Lytechinus pictus: one gene and its partner. The protein of the gene in region 2 interacts with the protein of the main gene of each other region in a pairwise test. Links are inferred from orthologs where the notes say so. Each region holds a gene or a part of one and is shown on either strand. Other genes may lie near its edges. The genes, in order: general vesicular transport factor p115-like; arf-GAP with GTPase, ANK repeat and PH domain-containing protein 1-like.

What was found.
Region 1: the proteins of arf-GAP with GTPase, ANK repeat and PH domain-containing protein 1-like (region 2) and general vesicular transport factor p115-like interact in a two-hybrid assay, tested with the Caenorhabditis elegans proteins (2 studies listed by BioGRID). The link is inferred for Lytechinus pictus from reciprocal best matches to the Caenorhabditis elegans genes cnt-2 and uso-1.

What each region holds. Positions count from the first base shown.
Region 1 is NC_087262.1:22,088,885-22,105,223, forward strand, and holds the start of general vesicular transport factor p115-like, read right to left. Parts: upstream 6,286-16,339; 5' UTR 6,194-6,285; coding exon 6,128-6,193; intron 4,455-6,127; coding exon 4,368-4,454; intron 3,790-4,367; coding exon 3,645-3,789; intron 2,814-3,644; coding exon 2,695-2,813; intron 1,811-2,694; coding exon 1,652-1,810; intron 755-1,651; coding exon 549-754; intron 1-548. Other genes in the region: very long chain fatty acid elongase 5-like, read left to right, coding at 9,177-9,320, 9,745-9,869, 10,552-10,987.
Region 2 is NC_087247.1:13,570,126-13,585,845, forward strand, and holds the start of arf-GAP with GTPase, ANK repeat and PH domain-containing protein 1-like, read right to left. Parts: upstream 6,315-15,720; 5' UTR 6,259-6,314; intron 3,458-6,258; 5' UTR 3,392-3,457; coding exon 3,370-3,391; intron 2,275-3,369; coding exon 2,047-2,274; intron 1-2,046.

The DNA of each region.
Region 1 (16,339 bases), on a different chromosome or scaffold from region 2:
GAAGTCAAATATATGCCATCTAGAAGACATAAGCACTGCCCTGCCCCCAGTTGAATAAACAAGTACAAGTACACATCTCTTGAAAGCACTTTTCTCAAACAAAGATCGTGGGTTCGAGTCCACCCCGGGCGGATGACTGAAGCCAGTGCGTTGTGTGTAAACGTCTCTCCCATGTTTCATAGATGCAGGCTATGTTACAATGGAAAACACTCCGTCCGTCGGATAGGACGTTAAATGGAGGCCCTGTGTAGAGGAGAGTAACCACCTTTGCACGTTAAGAACCCACTGCACTATTCGTATAAGAGTAGGGGGAAACCCCGGTGTAGTGGTCCACCTGCATTCCCCCCAATCAGTTATATCGGGAGGAGAGACCTGCGGGTCATAGTGATTCAGTTCGCTTTTCGCCTCCCAGGCACAGGTGACGCCAAACAAATAATAATAATAATAAAAGTTTAACAAATCTGGCATTGCTGGCTCTCAGTTATATTTCAGATCCACTTGAATCACACTCTAAAAAACACCCAAGAAAAATTTAAGAAGAGACTCACCCTCCTTCCTTGAAGAAGGACTGGTTAGAACTATTCTTCTTCAAGAGGTTGATAAGCAGCAGGAGACAGTCTTCAACCACGATGCCACCATCGCTGCCACCTTCCTCTGACATGATCTCCAAAAGACGCTCAAAGGCATTCTCAAAGGCCACAATCTTCTGGATGTTGGCATTTCCTTTGGTCAGTTGGATCAGCAGAAGTAGGCCCTGCAGAGATCATAGAGCATGTTCGGATTTAATCATAGTATTAGTAGCTATAAGGCCTATCAATTCTAACTGTGATATACACTAAGACTGCCACCTACTTCTGACATGATTTCCAGGAGATGCTCAAAGGCATTCCCAAAGGCCACAATCTTCTGGATGTTGGCATTCCCTTTGGTTAGTTGGATCAGCAAGAGCAGGCCCTACAGATTTCATATGACATCTTAGGATGTAATCATAGTATTTTTAGCTTAAGGACTATCAATTCTGTGATATGCACCATCGCCACCATCTAGTTCTGACATGGTCTCCAGGAGACGCTCAAAGGCATTCTCAAAGGCCACAATCTTCTGGATGTTGTTGTTTCGTTTGGTTAGTTGGATCAGCAACAGTAGGCCCTACAAGATCTTAGAATTTGATTTAAAGCATAGTATCATTCAGTCATTCGCATATGAAAGGCCCAGTGTTTCAACTTTATCTACTACAAATATATTACTTGGTCAGAAGAATAAAGAATGAAATCGTAAGTTGACAAATAGTGTTTCTACAACAAAATATAATTATTGAAAGAAAAAAAATATATACAAAAAAAAATGTCCTTCATCATCATTTTACATAAGTTTAACATCATACATCATCATCACCATTTATTCCAGTCTGCATTTTCCATGCTATGAAAGATTACTGATTTTTGCACAATGACACTCCCTCGCTCCTCTTCTTTTTAAATTGCAAAGACGAAACTTACTTCTTTCCTTCTCCATCACATCTTATCATGTAATCTTTGGTCTCCATTTTCCTCTTATGCCATCTTTTACAGCATACAACCCACTAATTGTGCAATATCATGTAGACTCCCACAAAACTTAATAACTTCAACAAACAATTGGGAGTACTTACATCATTGCGAATGACCTCTCTGCTGTCTGAGAGTAAGTCCATCATCTTGGACACACCCATAGGACTACCCAGGACATACTGCTGAACCTGACTAGCTTGGTAGGAGAGTAAGGTGGTCAAAAGCTTGATGGCCGGCCATCTTACTCGGAACTCATAGTCCTGTGCAGAGAAAAAGAAACATAGAATAGTTAATAATAATGATAATTGGTATATGTATAGTGCCAGCTACCAAGATCTTCTAATATACTTTGAGGTGCACTATTGCTACTGCCCCAGCTTAAGATTGAGCTGCAATTTCCAGCAGGAACACATTCTGATCGGTCCCCATTCATCTCACCTGGGTTGAGTGCAGCACAATGTAAGTAAAATTACTTGCTGAAGGAAAACATGCCATGCCTCAGATTCAAACCCAGGACCCTCTGTTTGAAAGTAAAGAGTCAGAACCACTAGACCATGACAGCCCCCTTAGGCAATCATATTGACTACTGAATTCTGTGTAATTCCAATCGGCTTTATAGAGGGAACACCTGGTTCCAGCAGGCAATGGGTTAACTGAATGGCCCAAAATACCTTATCTGATTGATGATATAACATGAGAAAATGTTCTTTTATTAAGATGATGAAGATCTGACAAAGCCAGCAGCATCTGCAAGCAATAGCTGACCAAAAGAGATGAATTTCCCTGATTGTGTCATGTTAACAGATTTTTTCTTCTCATATCATTTTTACTCAAATGACTAATATTACAAAGGTTAATCATAATAAAGTAGCCACAAAAATAAAGACGACTAATGCAATTAGAGAAATACCGACTAATATATTTACTTTCATTGAAATTTTCTTAGTTCTGCCAAAATTATACATAATTCAAAGAATGCAAATTCCTGGAAGATGTCAGATATCGAAAGTATTTCAAGGTGAAGTCTCATTTAGTTTTCAGCAATTTCTGACAATCACAGAAACAGGCAACACCATAATGAAACAACTAAGAAATACAAGGGAGAAAAAAAGGAACTGAATGTATGAGAGAACAGTGCACCTACCTCTAGTAACCCAAGTACAAGTGGAATATTATTTGGATTCTTGATGAATATTTCAGCAAACTGGGCACACAGCTTCATCTGCTCAGGATCCATTATGTCACCATTTGGAAATTCTTCATCTGAAATTCAATATGTATCATGCTATGTGACGGATGTAATCTAAAATCAGGGCCCCGTCTTACAAAAAGTTACGATTGATCCGATCGATCGTGACTCTATGGAAATCCATCAGTGTCATAATTTTTTTCTACAGGAAATTTGCAAACTGTCCTTTGTAAACAAAGGAGAACACACCAAATTGTCAAGATATCAATCAATTTATGGATATACAATCATATCTAGATATATTTTTTGAACAAACATACATAATAAATGTTGACATTGCTGGCCGTCCATAGTTACAATTGATCGGATCAATCGCAACTCTTTGTAAGACAGGGCCCCTGATATACATGTACATGTAAAATTTACTATTGCAATATCTATAAACTCTGATCCTGCTCAATTTTTATTTTGGAATTACAAAATTCTCAAGCAGGGAATAGGGCAGAAATGTCAGGAAATATATCCCTATACATCTTTTAACAAAAGAGAATAAATGTTAGTGTTCAAATGGCTTTTACTTTGAAAATAACAATATTCCTGAAAAAAAATTCTTAATTTGTTTAATGTTTATAACATCACACACACAATAAATGGCCAAAATGGAAATATCAGTCCCTATATTTTTAAAGATTTGAATGTTCGAATAACACATTTTATTTACTCATTGATCGATCGATTCAGACATATTTTGACTAAATGACAAGATCAGTATATATATATATATATACAGTTTTTCATCCCAGTCCTGTTAATAATGATAACACTTACCTAAAAAAACATCAAAATCAAATTAATAACAAAGTTGTAGATAAACTTTAAAGACAGAGCATTTAATGAAATCTTACTTTGTTCCTCCTCCTCTGTGTGTGCTGATAGAAGATTGAAGAGCGTATCCAGAGCATAACCAGTGATCTCAGCATCGGTCCGGTCAGTCTCCAAGACATTCACCAATATATCCATGGCTTGGGTACCGACCTCTAGCCGATATTTCTGTCAATGTAAACAGATGAAAAATAATATCATTTCCCTAAATACATAACTATAAACAAAAATGAGACTGTAACAAACAAGAAAAAGTAATACTTATAAGAAATGGTGGATAGAGCAACATACATGTACAGTACATGGAATTCAGAAAGATTGATTTATATTCTCAACAAACTTCCTTTCATTAACATTGGAAAGTATGTTTGTAAAGAAATGTTTTTAAGTTTCACATAAAAGTTGGCAAAAGTATCAGTATTTTAAATATTTCCATTACTTTCCCCAACTTTAGCTGATTCAAATTGATATCACTTCACAAACTAGTGTACAACATTTTGTTGTTTTTCTATTTGTCTCTCATTTTTTTTTACATTATACCTAATCATAATCAGGCTTTATAACTAAAAGCAAGCATCAATATTATGGCTACAAAAATGCTAAATAGGGCACCGTAACAAAAATCTGTGCCACGTATAACTCTTTAAATGGCAATCCTTCTCAGAATATATTATAAGTGGCTGTCCGATATTTAGAACAAACTTACATTTATTATTTGGAGTAAATTTAAGACCATGGTGTCTTACCTTGGAGAGAGCTTTGAGAGCCCTGACTGCATCTCGTCTGTCATCCAGGAGCGTGGAAGACTGCACTCGATCACATATCTTGGCAATCTAGAATTATACAGGAGATATATTCATGCTATTACTTCTTTAGTTAAAGAAGAAATATAGGGACAGTCACATAGATGAGAAATAATCTTGAATTTTTTAATGAGTACTGTTTGGATAGATATAAAGTGGGATGCCCCTGGAAGTCTTGTCTACATTACACAATTCAACATTGTTCATTTTGTGACATTGTAATATTTAACATTCTAAGTGTTTGCTAAACCCTTTTAATGTAATCAAATTTGCATGTGAAATCATGTAAACACATATGAACTAATTTGAACGAGTATTTTTACGCCACCATCTCGGCCTTTGTAATGGAAAGTAACTAAGCAATACACATTGGCCGATTACTACATGTAAGCCAAACTCTGCAATTCAAGTTAGAGTAAAGTCCCCAAATATCGGACAGTTCCAAATATCCAACTAAAATGACTTCAACTCCATCCCCACAACTAAAGGGACCTGCAATGGTAGGGGACTTGTATGTAATACATTAATATACCTGCTATGAATTGCACACAGTAGATCCAGGTTGAAGCTTAAATAAATATTCCAGGGGTTAAATCCAGGGGTAAAATCCATGATTTTGACTTCCAAAGATTCTTATGACCCTCGCTAATTATGGACTCAGAAAGGTTGTAAGGGGGAAGTGATTTTCACTGGAAATATCGCCGCCGAGATTGCACATGTTCAATCTATCGCAAAAAACCTGCAATGGCCGCCGCAGGGGTTCCCCACAACGAGAATTTTGACACCCTTCCAAATATGGCACTCTCCCAAACATCGGACATATCGACCAATTAAATTGGAAATGCGTGCTGTTGACGCGCGCATGCTCGTTTTCAAAACGCAGCTGAGCGAAGACGTCCGATGTTTAGAGCCGAAAGAGGTCCATCGGGTAAGTAAATAATTATTATTTACCTATTTCTAATAGTGCAGTGACAATTAAAATTGGCATTTGCACAGCTGAAATAAGTTATTCTCTCAACAATCAAGCAATTATTTGGGGGTTTAGAGCGTGATTTAAATCGCTGAAATTGATCGCCGTGCACAACTCTATGTGTCCAACATTTGGAAACTGCATCCGATATTTGGCAAAAAACAAGCTTCTGGTAATAAGTAAATAATTTCCGCTCACCATATTTTTTTCAATTCTATTTTTTATGACATTAATATTCCACATTTGTACTACAGAAATACACATGATTTTTATTTGATGCAATAATTGTATTTTTTTTTGGGGGGTCCAATTATGATTAAGTGTCCGATATTGGGCACTTTACTCTAAGACTTAGTTAACTTCATTTTTTTTCACAAACTTTGACAAAAATCCTAGTTAAGCAGCTGCAGTGCAACAAAGACCAAAGTCAAAGAACAAGATTTTAAGAAACATGGACCTTATGAAGGTAAATCCATCATCATGTATTAAATCAAAACAGAAACAAAAACTATAGTTGGGTCTACATCCAAACTAAAAGTGAACAGTTGAAAATAAGGTGTTAAACAATTAGAGTCTAGGCTACATGTATTTGACATTTTAATATTACAGACAGGAATTGTAACGCATGGGACTGGCTCATAATTTCTAAATATCATTCGTGAATATGTGCATGTTTTACGGCCCAAACAAATGGATATAGAGAGCTGAAATTGATTAACTCATTTCAACATACCGTATCTGCCCCTGACTGTTGATTTTCTGGAGTGTTTCCTCCCAAAACCCGACTGAAAAAGCTCATTTTCCTGGAAAATTCAGTTATTTTGCGAGTCAAGAAAGGATTAAGTGTGGAACACGTAGCACAAAACAAGTGCAAATTGTAAACGTAGATGGCGGTATTGCGCTAAAGACAGAGTTAGTTGAGGTGCCGTGGCCGAGTGGTCTAAGGCTATACATGGAAAGTGGTCTAAGGCTATACATGGAAAGTCCGGGGTTCGATCCCCGGCCACGGTACCTATGCCCATGAGCAAGGCATTTAATCTACAATGCTCTTTTATCCTGCTTTCAAATAAATGGAAATGCTATATGCATTATTGGAAACTAGATGTGCACTTGTTTTTTTTTTTTAATTTACTACTCTGGCTAAAGAAATTGGTCTTCACAGTCTAGTCGAGTCGGGGGATCTCTTTAGACCATAGAAATATATCTCTATGCTTTGAACACAAATGGATTGATTGATTGATTGATTGATCGATCGATCGATTGATTAATTGGTTGATTGGTAATATAATCAAGTATAATCTTTATGATGAGCATTCAGCCGAAGTGACCATAATTAAGACAAACTTAATTCCTTTGCCATATACGCAGTGGGAGTTTACTTAGCTGGGATTATATGATCATTTTTGCTTCTTTCAAAACTCATTTTATTGCAAATTTAAAAAGAAAAACCAAAACTGTGCTCCAGATTTATTTACATAAAAAACATGCAACGATCCCTCCAATTCGGCTTAGTCGTTACGCTCTTGTCCTCCTTTTTGTATAGGCCTAAAGGGTCTGAGTGTTTTAAACATTCCGCCTGCCCTCCTCCCCCCTGGAAAATAATACATTCACACTACCATGGAAACAATATATACATGTATGGGCCCTAAGTTTTCTTAGTTCACAAAGCCAATTACAGGGAAATATATACACTGCCGTTAAAACAGAAGTGTGCCCCCCCCCCCCTTGAAAGTGAAGATCTTTTTTTTTGCTTGTCAAATTTTTTTGTGAACGTAATTAATGTGCTAACTTCCCCTTTCGAAAAATCCTGGATCCGCCCCTGTATATATAAAAAAAATATTTTTTCTTTGTATGTTTTATCAAATTAAATCAACATAATTTACCAAATTGAAAATGAATATCGGGAACAGGGCGGCACTTGAAATTGTCTCAAAATTGCTGCACATCAGAACCCCCTGTTATAAAAAATAGTTTCCAGGGCCCTGCAGTCATCCCCCTCCACACACACACACATTCAAAACCGTTCACCGGCCCCTGTACAACAACTTGAAAGGGACAAATTTGTCTTTAACCGAAAAAAAAATACCGTAAATCATTTCCTTCGTCTACATTCAGAAATAATTGTTTGCAACATTTTTCCCCCTTTCTCACAACTTTCTTATGAAACAAATTAAACAATGAATATAAAATTACGATTTAGAAAATCAAACTTAAAATTCTAGGAAAATATAGCAAAATAGACAGTTCTATTGATCTATTCTAATCTAGTTAGGTTAATATATTTGTTCATCCTTTGCTCGTTTAATAATCCAACAAAACTCGACTCCGAAAATGCCACGCCCACCCTAACAAAAAAGTACCGAACACGAGATCTAGGGTAGCAAAATGATTAGTCTGCATTCACATACGTATTTTGTTGATTGTCAGTGACACTTTTTTATTAATTAATTTCATGCAATCAAGAAGGTTATAAGCAGTTAGAATTTAAGTAAGGAATAAGGTTCATTTATGACCTTGTTAATTATAAACTTGCTTTATTATGAGTGATAATAAACAAGTAAGGATAGTGTATCGTGTATCATGATGATGACTAAATTATTCTTCAAACTAAGACTAAATAGCTTGCAGCAGAAAACGAGAAGTTGAGAACTAAATTTCTGCAAGAAAAATAGCTGAAACGGGTAAGTGTGCCATTTATTTTGTATTTATAGATCATTTTATATTACTGAGATGTCAATATTTGATCCACTCTGTTGGAAAATATGTGAAATTAGTTAGTGTTTTGGTATTTGATTTGCAAGATCCAAATTAAACATATTTTTTGAAAACATGATTTTAATCCAGTCCCACATATAGACTTTCATATGGTAATATAAGAAATGCGGGGATCGAACGTGAAGTAGACCTAACTAACGTTAGGCACGCGCCTTTTAAGGCTGACGAATACAATTATGGCTTTGTCCAGTCATAATTTGCAGCAGAACTATGCCAACTGGCATGTCCCATGACGATAGTATGTAGACTCTAAATGTCATTCAGCCTTGCCGTAAATGCTTATTAATGTCGTGTTAAGCCTATTATAAGGCTAAGCCTGGCAAAAATAAGATATATTCTGACATAAAGCGTGGGAAACATAATGATAGATTTGACAGAATCAGATCTAATGTTATTCGCTATGATGGAAGAAGTTAGATATTGTGAAAACACCATTCACTTGACAGTGGCTCACATAAGTCCTGACATTCATTGGTTTCTTATTTCCACTCCCATTTGTAGTACACAAAAGTGTACATTAAATTACACTTAAAGAAAAAATATGTGGATTCCAAATTATCAAATAAATGACAACATGTACTATATGAAGGCATGCCAACAACATCAAATAATATGCGAGGCTTTTTTTTTTGTGGCACTGATATAATCAAAAGCTTCAAAAATATAATGCTTTTGAAATCCAAAGATATACCATTTACTGTTTGAATATTTTGTATTCAAAGGGTAAACAGAAATAGCCATCTTATTATGGGAAATTGAATTGATACTAATATATTCCCAATGAATATGGAGCCAGACATTAGCTCAGCAGAACAACAAATTATACAGAGACTGCAGTCTTTTGTATACAGTTAAAGGGAACTCCATGCTGATAAAAATAATATGATTTCAACAAATATAGGCCTATAGACAAGCCTATAGATTTATGAAAATAAAATATACTTTCAGCCTGGCCAAGTACCCATTTAATGGTAATGAGCTCTTATTTTTTTCAAACAGGAGGGAAGATGGCTATACTCTCGGAAAGATTCTACCAGGTTGGTAATACCTTTGTTGGCCTACAGTCATTCCCTGTTATGATCATATACCTCATCCTCATCGCTCTTTCACCGCTCTACCAAAGAATGACCAAGCCATACTCTCTCAGACAAGTAAGTTCAGTTTGACTGTCCTATATCAAGTTCATGAATGACCTTGTTTTGTTTTTTCCACCTTCCTGCGTCAAAATAGGCTTAATCATTTTTTTTCCCTTTCAGGAATGGAGGAAAACTTTCAAAATCAGTAAAAAAAATCCTGTAAATCCATGCAGATAAATATCAGATCATCTAGTGTGGCACTTGTCGAACTCGAACTTACATTTATACAAATATTTTAAATGTAATCATCATGATCATGTACTCCATTATTTTTTGTTATTAGAAGTTTGGCTTATAAGATGCCTTCACATACTTCCTAGATATTTTTGTCAATTTTATATATTATGAAATTCTTAACTTACATTGTTTCTTTTATTTATGCAGAAACCCATACATGCAAAGTTAGAAATACGGATGTTTTATTTTTTTTGTTTTATAGATCATGGTAGTGTATAACTATACTTGTAGTTTTATCAGTGGCTGTACTCTGTTGGGATTCATCGTTGGAATGGTCAAGTCCGGATCCATCTTCAGGAAAGAAGGAAATGATGTACTAGAATACAGGTAGCATAATGTTTGAAATGATTCAGCAACAAGATTTTAAAATTGCTCCACACTATACACATGTAAAACCTATTCTTATTATCACCTCATGATCTTCATTACAATGTTCATTTTATTATTTAGCCTATTTCTTGACAAAGAATTGCTCTTTTGTTAACAATGAAAAGTGATTTATTTATATCAATTATTCAATTTCCTGATATCAATGATTTAAATCTTGATATATGAAGAAAAAGGATAAAGTGGTAAAATATGGCTTGCCATATGTAGGTCAGCATATGCTGGCTGAAATGTCCTTGCTGAATGTTTTCATTGAGATGAACTTAATGTGAGCTTTGAAGGTTTGCATAGTGGTAAGACTGGATTGAGAGGTTTACGGTAACACCATTTAAGTTAGTCCTGAAAAAGACTGTTCATTTATCTTTCGGTTATAGCTCTTAAAAGAACTGATATTCTCGACATTTCAAGCACAAGAGCTCTTTGCTCTTCTCAGGAGTCACAAAGATAAACCAGCAGTCTTTTTCAGGACTAACTTTAATACATTGTGTTACCGCAAGCCTCTCCATCCAAGATAAACTTAATAATCTGGTAATGATGATCGTTAGATCAAAGCAAGACTTTATTAGGTCTTTTCTAGGAGGTCCATGGTATTAATGGAGAATATTTGCCTTGTAACTTGCAGTTACTTCATGTACTGGTGCACCAAGAACATTGAGCTCCTTGATACGTTGTTCATGATCCTGCGCCACAAGCGTCGTCAGATCTCTTTCCTTCACGTCTACCACCACGCCAGCATGGTCCTCCTCACAGACTTTGCTTACCACTACTCTCCCTGGGCCGGAATTGCTTTCGGCCTCTCCATCAATTCGTTCGTCCACGTCTGTCTCTACTACTACTACGGCTACACAGCCCAGAAGACACTGCCTGGTGCTCCGACCTGGAAGCGCCACATCACCGAGCTTCAGATCACACAGTTCCTGATAGGTTTGATTCATAATACTATAGGCTACCTCCATCATGGTTTCTGTGTGTATTCTATGTTCTACGGTGTTAGTATGCTCTATTTGTTCTCATCTTTCTATTACAATGCCTTTTTACGTAAACGTAAAGGAGAGTAGAGAGATTAATTTGTACCTAAGATAAATAGTTAAACCAATTCCAAATCAACTCAAAGTTATTGGCCCGAATTTACAAAGGTGATTTTGAAAACCCACGGTTTAGTCCATGGTTAATGCACATTTCCTGTATAAATTATGCTTATTTTACCACGTTTATAAAAAAATGTCCAATGCTGATAAGTGCTTTTGTCACAGTGCGCCAAATTGACGCCTGTTGCCATGGTTAAGTACGCTATTTCATTCATGAGTCCACTGTTTGAAGAGTGGACTCATTAATTAAAAATAGTGGAATCATGAATGAAATAGCATGGATAACCCTGGTAACAGGCGTCAATTTGGCGCACTGTGACAAAGCATGCATCAGCATTGGACATTTTTTAATAAACACAGTAAAATAAGCGTAATTTATACAGGAAATCTGCATAAACCATGGACTAAACCGTGGGTTTCAAAACCACCTTTGTGAATTCGAGCCATTGAGTCTGACCATGGAGTAATTAAACCAGAGGGTAATCTGACTTAAAACATGCCCATGGCAGTCTTGGTGTTTAGACTTACTTAGGCATCTAATGTTTGTACATTGCAATCAGTGTTGTCACAAGTACGTTTCCAATGATGGAAATTTCATGGTGTGGTGCGCCCACTGCATGCACATTCTATCTCACTGAATCTGGCAGCATGGGCATAATTTTGAGATCATGACTCGTGGAGTAAATGATTGCTCTTCAATTGGGGTTGATGTTACATTGAGTGCCAGTAAGGATCTTTGAATGGTGAAAGTTTAAAAATACTGAATGCAATATTAACTCAATTCCAACTACACGGTAATTCATCTGTGACCCACTGCCTTCACTAAGTGCATTATTCCTTTGTTTAATTACAGGAATGATAGGCTACAATATGGAACTCAATGGCCCGTATTCTGAAGTCAGGTTTAACTTAGACCATGGTCTAACTCTGTGCTAAAATTTTGGGGAGCCACAAACTAAAAAAATCTGCTTATATTGTATATTTTTTTATTTACTATTTTGTCTCCCTTTGCTTTCATAATGAAGAAAATATTTCAGTTATTATTCTGAGACAGATATGAATAATTTCAGTGCCATTAGAGTTGATACATTAAACATGTACTAAGAGAGGTTTGTGCCCCAATTGGCTCTCCATAGTTAAACCACAACTTTAAACCAGGGTTCAATTTAAACCCGAGTTCAGAATACAGGCCAATGGGTTGAATTACTACAAAAGAGAAGAAGAAGAGAGGGAAATTGGGCAATAAGAAAAAAATACTATGCAAATCTGTCATACAATCAAATTATAATATTTTGTTAACTTTAGAGAACTGTATTGGTGCTGATACTACAGGGTGTAAGCATGGTTCTAGCTTCTAGCTTAAGATAAAAAAATACAAAAGTTTCTGTAATTACAGTTGACTAGCATTTATCTTTCATTTGAAATCTAATGAAAAGAGATATAACAAAGGAAGAACTTTCATTTTCAGGGTGTAAACATAAATATGAAAAACAGGATGCCTTTTTAATCTACCTGTAGGGACCAGATATATAAAACAAATACTCTATGGCGATGTAGGTCATATGAGTCGGCTAATTCTTTTGAGGAACATGATGAACAAAATATTGTTAGGTTTCATGGCACAAAAACAGACTAGATTCACAGGGTAGACTTTAAACAGGGGAAACTCGTACAGGGGTTGTTGATATTTGATCATTATTGTCTGCAATTGAATTATAGCCTTAATATTCTGCAAGATATTTTGGCCCGTTTGCATTAACATAATATTTTTGTTGTATGTAATTGTCACTAAAGCAATTAACTTTACAGAAATCTTGATCTTGATTCAGCAATGTTACAATAGGGCCGTCTGCACCAGCCCGAGATTTCAAATTAGTGCGCTATTTCTGATCCGGCAAATTATCCCGATCTGAACAATCTCAAGATTATTTGTAATAAAGACGCAATTATCGCGCTAGTTCACAGGATTAATCTCGAGACTTAGCCCGCTAATTCGCAGGTGCAGACGCACTCAGGATTATTTATTCACGGCGTCAGACCATAGTGCATCGATGCCTCGCTCGAGCAGGAATCGCTCTTCTTGCGCTGGTGGAGACGGGGTTTCTTGAATCTCGAGATTAATCCTGAAGAGGGCCGATCGGGACCGATCGGGCTAAAATCTAGGGATTGAGCAAACTCGGGCTGGTGCAGCACCGCCTAATGATAGTTGCCGGTAATGGTGAAGTTGCTATTATGTTTACTTGAAAGATTAATGCAACAGAGTTATGACTAAAGAATTGTCACTTTTATTCTCCGGGGGGGGGGGGGGAATCAGTTACTTGATGCAGGGAATTGTTAGGGCTGCATAACAGTTACAATGTGAATGGCACGTAGACTAGTATGTAACAGTTAAGTGCCTTTGTTTTGAATGCATTTCTCTTTGGAATAGTTACATTACTATCTTTACAGTACATTTACTTCACATAACCATGTTTAGGGTCCAAGTTCCAATCTACGCAATAACAAATTTAATTGTAATAAAACTCAAGAGAAAATACTTTTTATGATAAAATAAAGATTTATTTTGTAAGTCAAATTTTTTATGGCGATTTTGCTTAAAGATTGTGGTCTTGTAATAATGATGCAAATTTTATTGTCCATTTATCTACTAAGCTTTTCATTATTTTGTGCTTATCAGAAGGCGATTATCAAGACAGAAAGTTCAGTTTGTTTGCTTTATTTGTTTTTATGAGCTAATTATGATTATTCAATTCAATATCAGGAAACTACGGTCGTCGGTTTTACCTTTACCTACATCGTTGGGTTTATTACAGCCCCACCTCCCACATCTCGCGCAAATCGTACTCTAAACACGTAGTGTTGACTCTTGGGGCAAAAAGTACATCCTTTATAAAACATTTTAGTCTTAACTTTTTATACCCTCGCAAATTTGACCCTAAACAAGTAGCTTTCCTAGCGAAAATAGATACCCTTTTTTCATTATTTTAGTTTTTTTGACACCCTTATTATTTTACGTACGTAACGTGCCCTATCTTGAAAAAGACATCCTTTTTACGTGTTTTTTTGGTCGCGCATGGTATCCACTCGTCAATTTAAGTGGCCCCCCCGGGGCACAAACGATGACTTGAAATCTGCTGAATGGCTTGGTCCATGCATACATGTAGGTGTCGGACAGTCAGTGACTGTTACCATGGAAACTTTTAGATTAAACAAACTTTGTTCAAGGTCAAGTGCAATCACCCCAATCTCACATAAGTACGCTACATACCCCATCAAAACAATGTTTCCTACATGTCACTCCAAAGAAATATATTTGTGGCTGTTGGATTAACAAGCATTGATTGCTGAGCTTGAGTGGATGAGTGAGAAAATTTTAAAGTGCTCATTTCTATTCAATCTTTCAAATTGAAAAAAAAAAACTTTAATTTGTTCCAAAAGAATAGGTTTATGTCTGTTTGATTAATAATCATTATTTTTTTAGTTTTGACTAGGGAATTGAAAATAATGCAGAGTGCTCATTACTATTCATACTTTCAATCTAATAAGAAAAACTTTACCATAAAACTGGAATGATAATATTCAGAATTGTGCAGAAGTGCCTAAATTTGTTATTTTCAAATCATTTGAAAAAAAAATGTCTGATCATAAACAAAAGTTTGAATTACCTTTTGCTTTCAAATGTGCATGTATTTATGATATGATATGTGAATGGCTGACAGTGAATCTATTTTTAATCTACAGTGTGAATTTGTTTATTTCTGTAACTATGTCATATATCATTATGTTCATATGGTGGAATAGAATTTTTATTTTATATATCTTTTAAAAATTGTGTGAATGTATTTCTCGTATTATTTTCACAATATTTTGATATTTGCCAATATTCATTAATCTTTTAAAAGTGTTTTATTGATATTTTCCAAGAAGGCCACAAATTGAATTGAATGGAATTCAATCTGCCATAAAATGTATTGCCTTTATGCATTTATGTATTCTTTTTAGTAGCTGGACACTTATGATGCCTTATACTGATCATGAACATTGGTATTTTGATATATTAAGAGTGTTTGTGTGAATGTGTGATCAATCTTGGCGATGTACGTGTACGGGTCTCCTTCATAATTATATTCGAGATCAAGTGTATGGAGAGGGCCGTAGCAAGGTCAATACCTGTCTTCATCAAGCTTTCGGGCACATGCCCTTCATCAGGATCGTAGGGTCTGTAAGTATAGTGTGTTGTTTATAGTAAAGTTAAGTGTGAAGTGTGGACCCCACGATCCTGATGAAGGGCATGTGCCCGAAAGCTTGATGAAGACAGGTATTGACCTTGCTACGGCCCTCTCCATACACTTGATCTCGAATATATATATATACACATATATATATATATACATATCCTTAGATATGTAGATGCCGATGATTGTGCAAAGTGCTCAATGCTATATATAGCAGAGCATATAATCCCAATCATACCTGTTGAACGTCTGCTACCGGCGGTTTCAATAAATTCAGTCTGCCTCAAGATCGCCTCAAGTTCGGGCGTGAAACCGCCGGAAGCAGACGTTCAACAGGTATGATATATATATAATATATATACTGTATACCCCTTTCATATTGGTAATGTCACCTAAAGACCATCATGTCACTATCATGTCACATCTGAGTGAGAAAATGTCTTTCCCATTAGTGAATTCCTGAAAAACCAAATGTTTACATGTAGTTCTTCTAGGATGTGGCCTTGGAACACCAAGATGTTAGCTGTGCCTTTAATACATTCTGATTGTCTGAATACAATCTCAGGTGAATTGAAAAAGCTGTTGGTATGAATATGTCAGTAAATAATGAAAATTTCTTTTGAGAAAACTCATATATATACCGCTTTCATTTTGATCATGTTGCCTAAAAATTACTATGTAACATCTTTTGAGTGAGAAATGTCTTTCATGCATGTGACCTAGTGAATGTAGTTCCTCTAGGATGTCACCTAGGGGGTGTTTCATCAACATTTTTGTCTGACAAGTTGTCAGACCTGACAACTCCTCATGACTTTGATTGGCTGAGGAGCACTGTTTGTATGATAGTTGTCAGATAATATGTCTGACAAGTCCTTTCATGAAACGCTCGTCGGGTGACACAGATTTTACCTGTGCCCGTTCACACTGGTTCTGCAACTTGTTGAAAGTCTTTGCCATGTCTTTTGGCAGGAATCCCACAATAAGGATGCTATGTGCCTTTTCATCGCAGCCTTCCTGCACTCTCTGGTTGCTATTTAAAACATGGGCCGGTACTCTTGGCTAGATATATGAACAAAATTATTATAAA
Region 2 (15,720 bases):
ATCTGCATATCTTTTCTTTTTAATAGATCTACCCAAGCATTTAATGGCCTGTCCCTAAGCATTTAACTGACTGAAAATTTTACTATTTTAATCATTGTCAGTAGCTTTCTGACATACAGTTGGTAAATTGGTAAATTTGGTGCTCAAATTACATTTTAAAATAAATATAAAAACAATGCCAAGAGAGGGCACTAGATAACTTTAAAAATCTTTATTACACTTCATGTGAATACTGAACAATTCACAATGCAAAATTATACATTTTAAAAAAAATCAAGAGCATAAGGGGATGGGGAGTGAAAGAAATAAAGAATGAGAGAGAGAGAGAGAGAAAGAGAGAGAGAGAAAGAGAAAGGGAGAGAGAAAGGAGGAATCACAAACCACACTGCAGGATCTATGCAGCTGGGTGACAATGTAATTGTGGCTTACAGCTAATGAGGCATACCTACATGTATAAGCAGCACATGATGATGATAAAGAGTTTGATATGTTCATACCGAAAGTTTATCATCATACTGTCATGTAGATAGTGTTCATCAAGATCAACATCATCTCCTTCCTCACAAATAAAAAAAAAAATTGTCACAAACTGCATTTCATTCATGTTCAAACTTTTAAACCTATAATATGAACTGTTCATGACAAATTTGTTACAGTCTCAATTTCACCCCAAATTAATTAATTTTCTTGAGCAAAATTTGTTAGACCCAAGCAAAATCTCATGACTTAGGTAGGCAACTAGGCACCACCTGACATCACTGCCGGTAAAAAAAAGCCAAACCATTGCTTTCAAGGTGTTCCTCTTGTGAAGTGAAACAAATGCCTACCACTCCTTCGACCTCTTTCTACGGTAACAATAAGGTGGCAAGTGGCAAATCAATTTTTAAAAACCCTTGAAGGTTAACCTTCACTCTTTCTGTTCATTCTTCAAAATCTTCCTTTTCAAATAAAGCCCAAATTTACCCAGTCAAAGTAATTGTATTGATCGTGTTTTCACATCGACCCACTAATGAGCTCACAAAAATGCAGTGCCTTTTAATTTTCGAACTCAAGGTTGCACTGTTAAGCTGAGTCACACACTTCAGAATACTGCGCTATTCTTGTATGCCTTGGCCTTGAATGAGTCACAAATTGAAGGGGAAAGAATGGACGAACTTTAACTTTAAGAGATGGTTATGAAAGAGAAGAAAGATGAATAAACAAGCCACAAAAGCTGGAAATATCATAGCTAGAAACACTGATAGGTATACCAAAAAAATATATCATAGGGTATTGACAAATGCACTGGTATCCCAACATCTGTTTGCTTGAGTCAAGCACACAGTTCACCGTGATGAAGAAATATGACATTTATTGCTTTTCAACTTGTAGTTGAGGTTGTTTTTATATTATCAAACTTTTTTGCCCGAATTCACAAAGATGGTTTTGAATCTGTGGTTTGAAACCATAGTTTATTCATTTTTTCACTAATTGTGCTTATTTCAGCACATATATTGAGGAATAACAATATCACAATTGATGCGTATTACAACATTCATGACTCTATTGTTTTATGCAAATCAATCAAAATAAAAACAGTGGACTCATGAATGCTGTAACCTCAGCAGCAAATATCATTTTATGGCACTGTAATGAAATCATTCATTAATGGATGTTTTCTCAATATAGGCCTAAGCACTAAATTAAGGGTAATCAAGACATGAAAACTATATAAACCCGAGTTCAGACCATGACTTCAGAACCACCTTTGTGAATTTGGGCCTTTATGGCTGGCATCCACCAACCTGTTGGACACTAAATTCTGTGATTACCATAGGCTTAGTACAGATATCACCCGGTTCCAGTAAGCAATGGTTAACCTGTTGACTACTGTATTATGTGATTCCCATAGGCTTTGTACAGGGATCACCAGGTTCCAGTAGGCAAAGGGTTAACCTATCGACTACTGGATGCTGTGATTCTAATAGGCTTTGTACAGGTATCACCCGGCTCCAGTAAGCAAAGGGTTAGTTCACACATGAACCCAGATCCTTGAGACTAACTCACCTTGGGTACCCACTAGAATCATGGGAAGGTCTGCCGTGTTGCGGTAGTGGGCTATCTTGGCATAGAAGTTATACAGCATGTTAAAACTCATCTCGTCCTCCACACTGAAGACCAAGATGACGGCATCCACCCAGGAGCAGAACTGGAGCTCAGGAGGGCCTCCTTCATCTCTGATGAGGAGCAGGTAACTCCTGTCATCCACAACGATCTCCTTCTTGAATCTCCCTCCTAAAAAATACAAAATGAATAAATAATACATATTCTTCACATTTTGTGGATTTATTTTGCCTGTTTTAATATTTGAAAATCACCTGTTAGTAAAAGCAGTTAAATCGTATCACAAAGTTTGAGGTGGTAAACCTGTTATAAAACTTATGATGCAATTCATTATGCAATTCACAATAAAAGCAGGGTCCGCTGGGAGACAGGTTTTCAGAACGGAACCGGCTAACCTCGATTAATATACTGTTATAATTATTAAACTTATTACCACGTATACTGCTGCAAACTTTATGATGAATTTATTTACATACACATACAAGCAAAGGGACAGGACAAGACATTCTAGAGGTAATGTCATTTGTTCTCAAGCAAATTCTTTCTTTCTTCTTCCTTTTTCTTCTTTTCCCTCTTTTTGGGGGGAGGGAGGTGCTTCTTGAAAAATCACAGAGGGGTGGGTGCCCCCTCCCCCTGTAGTGCAGTCCCTGTACCAGCATTAAAGCTGATTGAACGTAGTTGCAGTAAAACACTGATTTCGTGAGAAAGTCTGTAAAACCAAGGTAAAGTATTGATATATCATCGTGGATCTAGATCTGGTACAGTTACATAAACTGAACTTTGTGAAATCATAATATCTAGCTAAAAAACGATCACACTGAAGATCGCCAACACAGATAGGCACACGTGGGACAGCGTATTATTATTGCTGGAATAAAGACCCGACGGAAGTGACCGAATCCGCGCTTATTTTGCTTATTTCTCAGCAATTACACAATTTCTTCCGGAATCCTTTGGCACATATTTTTTATTCATACAAACAGACACTTTGGTGATCTTTATATCAAATTCTGGAAAAAGTCATTTTGAGATCGTTCCCACAACTGGAATTTATCTTTAATTCTTGCAATACCATGATGCATGCTGCTATCTTTGAAAGAAATAAGCAACTTAGGCTAAGAACATGACGCTACAGTCGAGGACAGGACAGTCACATTAGCAAACAGACTCCAGCCTGACCAAGGCTATCATGCTATGACATACATATACGATCGGTCGGTTCGGAGTCCGTTTCGTAGGTGTGACTGTGGTATGATTTGGGCTTACCTTCTGGAGATTCCTCTTGCATGTATGATCCCGTCAGGTAACGATGTACCAAAGCTGATTTCCCGCTTGTTAAGCTTCCCACAACACCCTGTTAAAAGGTAACAATATATTAATAATGTCAACAACATCAATGGCAATTCTGGGGAAAAAGGGGGGGGGGATGGGGGACACAACACATACAAAAATCTATGGGAGAGGGTCGTCTCGTCCACCTAGATGCACAAAATATCTCACAAAATGGCTGCCTTTGGTCAACACAACCATTATGTGTATTATGTCAAAACATGGATATGACCATGGTTTGATATGACCATGGAATACACAATTAGAACATGTTTAACCTGCGAAAGGTTTTATTCAAAACTTAATAAAGAATTGTTATAGAACTAAGACTGGGAACATTCACAGATTGCTTAAAATCTTTAATAATGTCATATTGTGGATAGATAGAGAGTCTTTCTCTGACTATGACCCACATGCTCCTACCAAATTTTAGAGTAGACCCATCCAGTAACACTGGGCTATGGTCAGCATAATTCCAACACATAAGACACAACTGTACCATTTAATACAGAAACAACAAAGTTCACCGTTTTTATACAGATTCCTATGGGAAAAGACAAACTTCACAATCTTTAGGTTGTTTTCAAAAGGGTAACAAAATGCTGGAATAAGAGCAATAAAATAAACACATTTTTTCTACAAAAAGGGCAGTCTATTCTCTTCAGAGAAAAGAGGCTAAAAACAACTGAAAAATGGTGAGCAGTAGAAGACATCTTGCTCACTGTGTAACAAAAACTGATCATGACTCTATTTCTCGGTTGAAATGTTGCTCTAATCCTTGTTATTGTTAGAATCCATTTTGTTATGAAGCCCGATTGCAGTTATTTTTCTCTGACACAATAACATGAAGGAGTACAATTCATACTTTCAGGATACATTTACATTATGTACCTTAATTAAGAATCTCATTGTATTATTTGTATATCAAGGTGCCTTTGGAAGTGCATAGTCTTAGAGAATATAACTATTGTGATATACAAAAACTGAATATTATTTATCATCAAAATCATAAAGGAAAAATATAGGTAAAATAAATCGATATATGACTTCAACTTTATGCCGAAATGAAGACATCTATAGGATTTGTTATTAACACCCAGTACCACTCATACTAGCTTAGAATGTTTAAGCATGGATCGAGTCCTACACCGCACCACTTTATCTTCTTCCGAGCATGAGTACCAATACCCTCTAGCATTGGACGCTTGTCACAACACAGACATGTCAAAATGAACTTGAAAAGGAATATGAGATTTCATCTGGGAGCACCGACACAGGAAAAGAAAATATTGTCGTAAGATCTTGTGTTTATTATCGTAATTCACCAACTCTGAGATATGAGAATAATACTAGCGCATATCATAATGCTTATCATTGAATCTAAAATCTTCAAATTAAGTTATCTACATCTTTATAAAAAGCATTTATACTGTCAATATAAATAATGAACCGGTACCAGTAATTCTTATGGATAATGCCATGAGCCATGATATCAAATACTCTTCTCAAGTTTATGACTGGCCTTGATACAATGCCTCGGATGCACATTCTTCAAAATATCTAACAAATAAAATATTAGTACTGGCAGTTATAGTTCAAAGAGAGAAGCATGTCTCCTTCTAATGCATTTATCTTTGAAGTAATGTTTGAAAATGATTATGGCGACTACTAACTTCTCCACTTCCTTTCAAACTTAAGCTAAAATTTCACTTGACTGGCTCTACTTCTCTAGTCTACAATGTAGTTCCACATCTGCAGTGTGTGTATCACAGCTGATTTAAGAAGTCTGCATAGCAGACTAGGTCTACTGTGGCTGCAGAAATGGCTCGCTTTGCTCGCCCTTGCAGGCTGGATTGCGCGAAGCGCGCTGAGATCCCACGTCACGAGCCATTCAGAGTCTGCATAGCAGACTACTACCTCTCTGCTCCTGGGGCACTTAACACAAAGATTAGCAACCATAGCAGAATATTTTTGTACGAGTGATTGAATTGACAACAATGTACAATTGTTTTAGTACATAGATTCTCCTAAAAGAGGATGCTAAAGACAGAATGAGACATATATCAATCAGCTAAACATGTCTATAGCCATCTATCCATGTAGAGAAATACTCAATTATCTTATACCTACAAATTTGTAGATTTCATTATCAAAGAATTCTCCGTGAAGGCTCTTCTTTATTAGCTGCATTGACGTAAGAGGTGGGGAATCAGGCTAAATGCCAATGAGATTAAAACCCTGACGCAGGCTAGAAGAAATCGATAAACAAGGACATCTGGGGTTTGGACAACAAATAATACATCAAGATGCACAAGATTTTAGGTAGTCGATTTATCATAGGATATATGTAGGAAATATTTTTCAATGCCAGTTTAAAAGCAGAAAAAAATCTTATGCAAAATACTCAAACCAATGACAGTTCTGGTTAATGCCAGGGTAATAACAGTAAATGCCTTGGAATACTTAATTTCTAGATAAATGGCATAAATGCCTGTCATTTTCATCATAAAATGATGTAGGCAATGAAAGGTGGTGGTAACATTGATCTAGTGGGCTTTTTTGTGAGTGTGGGGGTGTCAGTATTTAAATAATAAATACATATCTTGCACTTTTTTTTGTTCTTTTATTTCTAATTCACTTTTGTTTGTATATTTCTTATGTTCTACATTGTAAAGCGCTTTGATATGGATTTCATGAAAAGCGCTATATAAGACTTAAGTTATTACCATTATTATTCATTTATAAGTTGTTTTTTTACCCATTTAAAGTTGAACAGATTAAAGAACTTTAGTTTACACAAATATCAAGAATAAATAAATTACTTACCAATTTCAGTTCTGGGACTGTTCTGCTCAGTGTCCATTCTTGGCTGTTCACAAATGAATCTGTCAGCAATGAAAAAAAAGTGAAAAGATGAAAAAGAATTTCTATAAAGATGCAAAAATGAACAGGAAATGGTGTAAGTAACAATTGAGCAGATACGTGTGTACTCATCAAAAGAAGATATGAAAACACTTTGTAAAATGGAGAAATTTGAATGTTTTGCAAGGAAGACTACACATGACAGTTCATATATCAGGGCCCCGTCTTACAAAGAGTTACGATCAATCCAATCAATCGTAACTCTATGGAAATCCATCAGTGCCATAATTTTTTCTACTGGAAATTTGTGAAATGTCCTTTGTAAACAAATTATGAGAACACACCAAATTGTCAAGAAATCAATGAATTTATGGATATACATTCATATCTAGAACAAATTTTGAACTTGAAATGTTGACTTTGCTGGCTTTCCATAGTTGCAATTGATCGGATCAATCGCAACTCTTTGTAAGACGGGCCCCAGGCCTTACAACAACACTTTAATCATACTATAGGCCTATCACAACCAACCTGTGTTTAACGAAAATTATCTCTCTGTTTCTGATTAGGCAAATTATCCTGATCAGGGCCCACATTGCATGGATGTTAACTTGGCCATCTACAATGGCACCTCCCATGAAATCTCTGTTTCTGACAGGCTGTAAAGCATTGTTACCATGGTGGTACATGTAGTTACCACTAAATGGTAAAGTTGTCTTAATAGTATAAATTTTATGCAACAGCAGCCGAAACAATCTTTTAGATGACTTTCCCTTGAGATTGAATGAGAAGAATATAACATTGGTTTAATCACGAGATTGCAATTCAAAGGCAACACTAAATTTATTATCATCGTTGTGCTGCACTCAATCTGGGAGAGTTGCAATTTGTATCCCTTGGAAAAAAATGTTATAAATCCAGCTATCATTATCATTACTGTGCATTGAAAGATATTCCACAAAATCACAACTCAAAAATACTAGATGATCTTGAACACATATCTTGTTGTTTAGATGAACAAATTAAATATATAGGAAAGAAAAATAACATGCTCCCTTTTCTTTTTATTATTAAAAATGTCTGAACCACTCATCATTTTCGATTTAAATGAAATGAGGCAACCAAAGCCTCTTAAGTCTGCCAGACATATTTCATTGAATCACAAACACATTTCCAGCCTGTTAGAATAACAAATTATCAAGTACTTCCATCATGATTGTGTTGACCCCTTAACAAAACAGGAAATTAATTGTAGTGTAGAGTCTGATAATGACCTATCAGCGTCTTGTTAGGAAGCAATCCAAACATTATTGGGTTCGATAGACACTTTCTAAAGGCTCTTGATATCTGGTATGAGTTTCTACTTTCCCTTTCTTAATTTCATCTTGCAATTCCAAGAAATCCCTGAATATACATCGATTAGCACATTCATAAAATGATTTATCTATGTTTTCTCATTTAACTCATCTGAAAAGTTGTAAAGCTGTTAAACGATCACACCTTGAGAAGTTTGTGAAGAAAATGTAGGCAGAGTCGGACATACAATCAAGAAAGGATTTATGAATCAAAGCAATAAAAGAAATAGAGTATGCATCAAGGTATGTACAGCTCACTTGCATATACAAATGAAACTTTATCATAAAAAATCCAACAGCGATGAATAAAAGAAATTAATCATGACGACTTCACAAATTATGAATATTGTTTTTTCTTTCCTTGTATATTTAGCATGACATGAATTGACATTTACAAGAATTCTGATTTAACATCATGATTATAAACTAAATGAAGTACACCCCCCAAAAAAAAAGAAATCTGAGGGTCATGGTTTATAAAAAACTGTCATGGACATGAAAATGGAGCTAACAAAGCTGTAAAAGAAATAAAAAGATAAAAGGGAAGAAAGAGAGAAAAAGAAAGCCCCAAACCAACATATTTTCTAATAAGCTTTAACAAATAAGGCATTTGTGGATTTACTTTGAATATGAACCTAATGCCAAAAGAGTAGATAATCAGAGTCATGTGTGGCAGACATTTCTCTGATGTATGGGCACATACACTGGGTATGTTTAATGTGATTGATTTACTAAGTGGGAGTGACTTATCGTTTCTTGCTATTTCATGATCAAGTATAATACTTACAGTTGTTCAATCAAATTATAATTTTATGGTTTGGCCTAATGATGACTTTTGAAGCAGAGCCATACCAATTGTGCTACAAAATAAAGAGTAACATCTTTTCACTTGCTGGATATTTGCCAATGTTATTGAATGAGTATTTTTTCGTCCAATGTTGAAAAATGTCTGAAGAAAAATTATCACTAAAATACTTAAATTGGCAATGCAGGAGAAATGTCAAAGTCAATGTCTCTTCATTCTCTTCATTGTCAATTCCTATTCGAGGAAAATACAGCTGTCGCCAATTCAGTGAATCATAACGCTGATCAAATAATTTTTCGAGCAAAACCAGTGCAATTGAGAAGAAAAGGTAAACATGATGTGTTTTGTGCTTTATGTTTGATATAAAGAGTCTCGTTTCATTTATTTGGATATTTTCATCACTGACATCAATTTAAAGGAAAAAATTGGATGGTAAAAACTTTCATTGAATTATGGCTGACAGAGAATTTCATTAAGAAAAACATTTTTTTTCTTCATTGACCTTGTGTCCAAAGCATCACTGAATATCATTAAAAAATCATAAAAGAGTGCACCATATGCAATTTCTATGTTTTAAAAACAACTTTTGTGTTACAATTATACAATAGCTTGTGGAAATTTTATATAAAGCGCATAGAGGTGCAGTTCGTCCACATTAACTTAGTTCTTACAGTTTCCATTTTTTTTCCTGAATTCTATTGCAATCACTAGGTGGTTTAAAACCGCCTCGATCATAAGAATCCCCGTTAAATTACGAGAACTTTTTTAGGCTAAAAAATACCCATTAATTATTCCTGCATTCACACCGCCCGAAACATACCCTTCGGGATAAGTTCCTGAAGTTACAAGCATGCGCAGTATGGTCTGATCAGCAGGCAAGGCGCGAGATTCAAAATCACTAGCTCAGCAGCCACCCACGGCGCCAGCGCCCAACTACACGCTCGGCTAAAAGTTCCCGTAAATTGCTTTCACATTGCCAAAATACCTGCGACCTTGGAAAAATCCCCGCGATAGTTCTCGTAATTTTTACAAGTACATACTATTTAGTGGGTATTTTCTTTCGGGGAGATTACGCGTAATTTGCTTTCACATTGCCAATATTACCTGGTATTTTCTGATCGGGGTAGATTTCCCGATCAGAAAATACCTAGAACTGACGAACTTCGAGGCGTTCTGAAACCGCCTAAAATGGAAGATGATTAGAATGGGAGAATTATACTAATCTAGATATTAAAAAAAACCTGTGATTATTTCCAGTGCAATGGGTTTTACCATTGCTGAAGAGAAGTCATTAAATTCAGCTACTCTTCATAAATTGGTAATGCTGTGAAAACAATGAAATCTCTATTTAAAAACAAATTGGCAACTTTTGAATTAGAGTTGTCAAAATTCTGAGATTTGGTTATTGGCTACACATAATAGTATATACACAGCTCGGTGATTTGCTTCCCCAGCGTTTATGCCAACTGCCATGACTAGTATATTTGCAGGCAAATCAATAAGACCTATACATTACATGCACTAAATCATGAAAACCAATAGTACGTTCGGTAAAACGTTTTCATTTTCATTTTCATTATTTCATGCATGACCTTAGCTGAACTCAGTATATCAACATAGCAAATCCCAGTATTCACTTCAGAATAAATCATTTTCCACAAGAGTGAACAATACCAACTGCTTAAGTAATTTGGAGGATAAAACATATTTTTTCATAAACATTCCATAAATCCTTCATCCGGCTATTCTCTTCATGCCCTTCCCGTTGCTTTCTATTCCATTAGAAATCATAGCTTCAATTTTTTTTTTATATAATTCAGTTTTTATTGATAAAATAATTATACAACAACTATCAAGAAAACAAGCTTCAAATGTTTGGTGTTGACTAAGCTATCTTTCTAGAAATATTCTCATTTTCATCACTTTGTCAACTCTAAAGTTGGGTCAGATAAAGCAACAAATCAGTTGCAAAAATATTTGTAATTTGTCCACCCCCAAGAAAGGGTAATCATTCTTATAAAAATAGGACTTGTATCATGTTCCATATCTTACTGTTATTTAGTTGTTATGACTAATAATGTTTGTAATCATTAAATTTTAGTAAAAAATTGTATCCACTAACTCTGAAATGATAAAATCAATTTTTGTAAGGTTACAACTACATGTTCTGCATCAAAATATGAAAATAAGAGAACAGCATAGCTCAAAGCTTTACTAAAATACTACTTTATACCATTGCAATTCAAGCTACAGGCTAAAAGAAATAACAAACCAAGCTGAACAAAAATGTTCTTAAAAATGTTGTAACCATGGGTTTTAAAGAACACAATGTCTTTTAGTGAAGAAAATATAAAAGGGAGGCATTTGGGACTTGAGGGTAATGAATTGTTGAAAAAAGTACAAAAAGAAGAAAATTTTCAAGCAAGCTACCACTGGAAATTCTAACAATGGTGCCTTTAATCCACAGTATAAACAGAAATAGTCCTTGCAAATGTGTTTTCATTTCTTCAAGTTTTCTATTCAGGGGGGTGTCCAAAGGTGTAACTAAAAACCATGGGAAATTCCTCAATTCTGGTGGAGCCGTGGATGTATTTGGTTTTCAACTGGAGACTGGGTCTCAATTCCTCACAAAAAGGAAGGGTTGAAAAGAGTTATATTTTAATAAAATCAGGGAAATGAAAAAAGCTACATTTTGAAGAGAGAATAAATATACTCGAAATAATCAAAGACACACAGGAGATATTGCTGGCACGTAATTAGGAAAGAAAGTAAAACCCTCTGAAACAACAAAAAACAATACAATATTTAGATATTTGATTATTTATTCTTACTAAGACATTCAGAATTTTCATGAAACTTTTAAAAAGAATCAAACATTATACATCAAATACATATATCATTTTTCAAGCGTTCGTCCAGACATTCACTAAACTATTTTCCTTAAAATTTATGAATTTGGAAAGTAAAAATCTACTTTCAAAGTAGATTTTTATTCATTTTTTAGATTTATATTTAAATTTCTAAACCACAAGAAGTGAAGTTGAAATTGCCATTACAAGGACAAACTGTTGAACATACTGTATATTTTTTTTTCAACTATAGGCTCTGATTATTTTGAAAACTCTTCATAAAAAAATAAAAAAAGAAGAAATAAATGCTCTTTAGACACTGATTTATTTAGTTACCACTCATCAGACAGACATTCAATTTTAATACAAACAGTGCATCCTGAGTTTTAATCCTATTTTAATCTTGCTCAAGAGGTTTTACAAAAAAAGGCAATTTGTTATTATTGGAGACCCAAATTATTTCCAATAATTTCCCCCAAAATAGCTAACTTTAATCTTAAGCCTATCAGATTTTACATCACATTTGTACATGTGTTCCAGAATAATCTTTCATTTCATCTAGCACTGAATTCAAAATTTGTGTAATCATTACCTTACATTTATACCTACATGCATAATATGCATATTTTCAAAGTAAAATCATCCTCAAACAATAAAAAATGATGAAGTTCTTACCCTTTAAAATGCCCATTGTTCTCAACAAGTTTCTATAAACCTTCTTTATCAGAGTCATGTTGGAAAATGATGTTTGGAAATAACCAAACCTAAATCACACGAAAGTTTTAAGAAATGTTTAAATCATACTCCAAAAATAGCAGAATAGAAAGTCCACTTTCATCTACAAAACATACATGTACATAAGAAATGAAAGGACATCATATGATAATAATGACCAATAAAAGCAAAACAAAAAATTAATGACTCTGCAGTTCACACTTTGTGAACTGCAATCAAAGCAAAACTAATTATGACCTATGATCCTGACAACTTTGAGGGGAGTTCCAAGCATTTCCGAGAAATTAAGGGAATTCCCCATTACATGTCAACGCAGAGAATGTCATCATCATGTACATGTACATTTTAATCAAGTTTAAAAAGAAAATTTGAAACAAAAGAATTTCCTTTCCAATGTTTAATGGTGTCTGTTTTCTTATCTGTGATATTAGAAAAAAAGCAAACAGTTTTTGAAGAAAAAAGAGAAATTTCGAAGATCTCTCCTACTTTCAACATGGACAGCATCAGTGTTGTGTACAGATTTTTGGTTTATGGATAATGACAGCTCAGTATCATAACCTCTACAATCTCCCGACTTCAAAACAATACGCTATAACACTGGAAAGATAGGAATGAAAGAGCATCAAGTTGTATTGTAATCAATACACCAATGCTTCAGATGAGTAATGAATTAAATCAAGCACTATACCTGGTCATTTGGAGTTATACATGCATTATTAATGAATTTAGGCATGCCTGATGAATTTGGTTGAAGATTCATACCAAATAGCTTCGTATGATATACAGGATGGTTGTGGTTATGAATACTGAATGGTATTCCTGGATTAAACCATGGAGCTCCATGATCAAACCCTGGAAAGGGGGGGGGGGGCACTCAGTATATAATGCGTGGTGGGTATGTGCCGCGGAGGGGACCCCCATTTTTACACTCAAATTTCCGTTCCAAGGCATAGCATTTTTATCTTATTGAGAAAAAGAACATTAAAGCCGCTCCAAAGCATAGCATCTTCTTCTCATCTAGAAAAAAAGAAAGAAATCTGTTCCAAAGCTTCGCATATTTTTTGTAACCCCGTTCCGACCGCATTGATCTGCTACAATGAGCTGCAATTTTGGTGAAAAGCAGCCACAGAACGCTGTTCGACCATCGCTTCTGCCTGAGCGCACCTGGCGCCCGTGCCGCCGAGCTAGCTGCATGCACGTATGCCCGTTCCATAGGGATGCATACGCACTCACACGCAGGTGACCCGTTCCAAGGACCCCCGTCTTCACAAACATTTGTAGTTCCTAAGCCTGTTTCGAGGACCCTCCTTTTTACAATAAGCCCGCTCCACAGCCCCCGTTTTGTGCCTCGCCCGCAGCACATACCTACCACTTTTTTGGTCGAGTCCCCCCCCCCCCCTCGCAGATCAAACTATGGAGTAAATCTGGGTGCGCACTGCGTTGATCATGTCTTTCCAGGAGCCAACAGGTTAACATTGTTAACAGCCAACAGTAAAAAAGAAATCTGCATTTGTTTTTTATTTTCTTCTAGAATGTGATTAAAATGTACTTGGCACACTGCATCGACCATGTCTTTGCTGCAGCCAACCAGTAGCCAACAGATATGGACCCGTGTATTCAATTTCGATTTTCAAATTTAAACAGCAACATGAATTATGATTGAAAAACACGTTTAACGGAATAGGAGAAACAATGGGTGTGTTCAATGTCCCCCATTCCTAGTCGTAAAGCAAATATCTTTCAGATCGGAGTGGGAGGAAAATTTAAATGCCAAAAAAGATACATTTGGATATGAGATCAGCTCAGATTTTCAAAACCTTCAGTATCGTAAATGTGACACTGAACACAATTGAGTTTTGAAATATCTTTACATTTGCTTTAGCAGTGGAAGCCTACACAAGCATGTGCCAGAAATGACCTGTTTTTGGTGATGGGTCAAAGTGCACAATAAAGTTGCCCTAACGAAAGCGGGAAATTCAAAGACGATCAACGTATAGTCGGCTAATATGGTATCGGCACTGAACGCTGATCGTGTTTGTAATCACATTTTCTATCATGATTCATGATGCTATTAAAATGTGACAATGGAAATTGAACACATCATAAGATCGCTCTGAAGGTTCAGTGTGACAGTGTTCCAATGCCTCACTGAATTGGTTTAATGAACTGAAAACCGGTTCAAGGGCCTGTTGTGCATACTGCTATGGTAACTCTGCCATTATAGCAACTACCATGGTAACAGTCCATCACAATTAAGGTTTCCATGGTAATACAATAATGGCAAAGTTACCACAGATGTACAGATAAAACCTTGTATCTCAAAATTTAAATATTTTGATGCAGCTCAGAATAAGCATGATTTTAGAGAACTTATAAGATGGGTAGCAACCTTCTTGTGCCTCAAATGAGTTCATCACAGGTATCAGGAGACAGTTTTCAGACAATATATGAGACTGCCACCGTTGCTATATAGCTGCCCTCAATTTTAATTTTGAGATTCAAGGTTTTATCAGCCCAGCCACAAATTGTGATTGTGAACAAGGTCTTTGATAGAGAGTTGTAGAGTGCATCATGAACTTGACCTCCATCATGGCTACTACTGTTACAGGGGATTCTATTTCTCAGCAGCAAAATATATTGATCTGGAGTGGATTTACTAGGTCATATTAACCCGATAGTCTCAGGGGGAAAGAATGGCATCGCAAGCTGATAGAGAATATTATCTTCCGATCCTTGGCTGGTAGAAGGCTTCACATAATAAGGGCTATTAAAGGAGGTATCTACCCAAACTTTTACCCAAATATGAATAATACAAGTATGTAGTTACTTTCATACCTCTCAATCACAAGAATATTGTAATGTATGCAAATTTATTCAGGTCTCAAATTAGTTAACCTGAATTCATCTTGTGCGATCACAGTCGCACCCACCTGACCGAGATGAAGTTTCCATACAAGTATGTGCACCAAATCAAACCAATGCTTTCACACCATAAATGATCACTTCGAAAGTTCTTTTAATATTGAAAAGTACGCACTAATTTTCTTTCAGAGATAATAGTTAACTTCCACAAGAGCGAAATAGCTGGTATTTTGATATTTTATGAACTGGATAAAATATATGGATACAACATTCTAATTTTTTTACATTACATCCAATTTGATAGGATTTTTTTAATGTTATATCCAATTTTGATGACAATTTCAGTGTTGCGCTATTTCAAATTTTCTTGTGTTATTCCTCTCTATTTATTGGGGTTATCTTGACCTTTAAACTATTCTTCTACAAAATACACAGAATGCTGACCTTTTGCACAAGAAAGAGAGACTTCCCCCCTTCTCACTGAATTTAACAATAAGAACAAATCTTTTTTTTTCTCAACAAAAATAGACTGTTTTCTCCTGAACAATGCCATTCACTGACTCCCCATCTCAGAACAGAAAACCATATATTTATGAATTCACCACAAAATCAAACCGTACAATTGAAAAATCGTTGCCTGTCGGAGGCAAGGCAACTGTCACTTAATCACACAATGTCCATTTCCATCAAACAAATTAAGCTGGCCATTTTTCATGGTTTGTTTCATTAATCCGGTGAAATCCAAAATTGTCAAGCCAAGGGGCAGACCTACAATGGAACTAGTAATGAAGCTACTCAACTGTTAATGCACTGTGCCCAT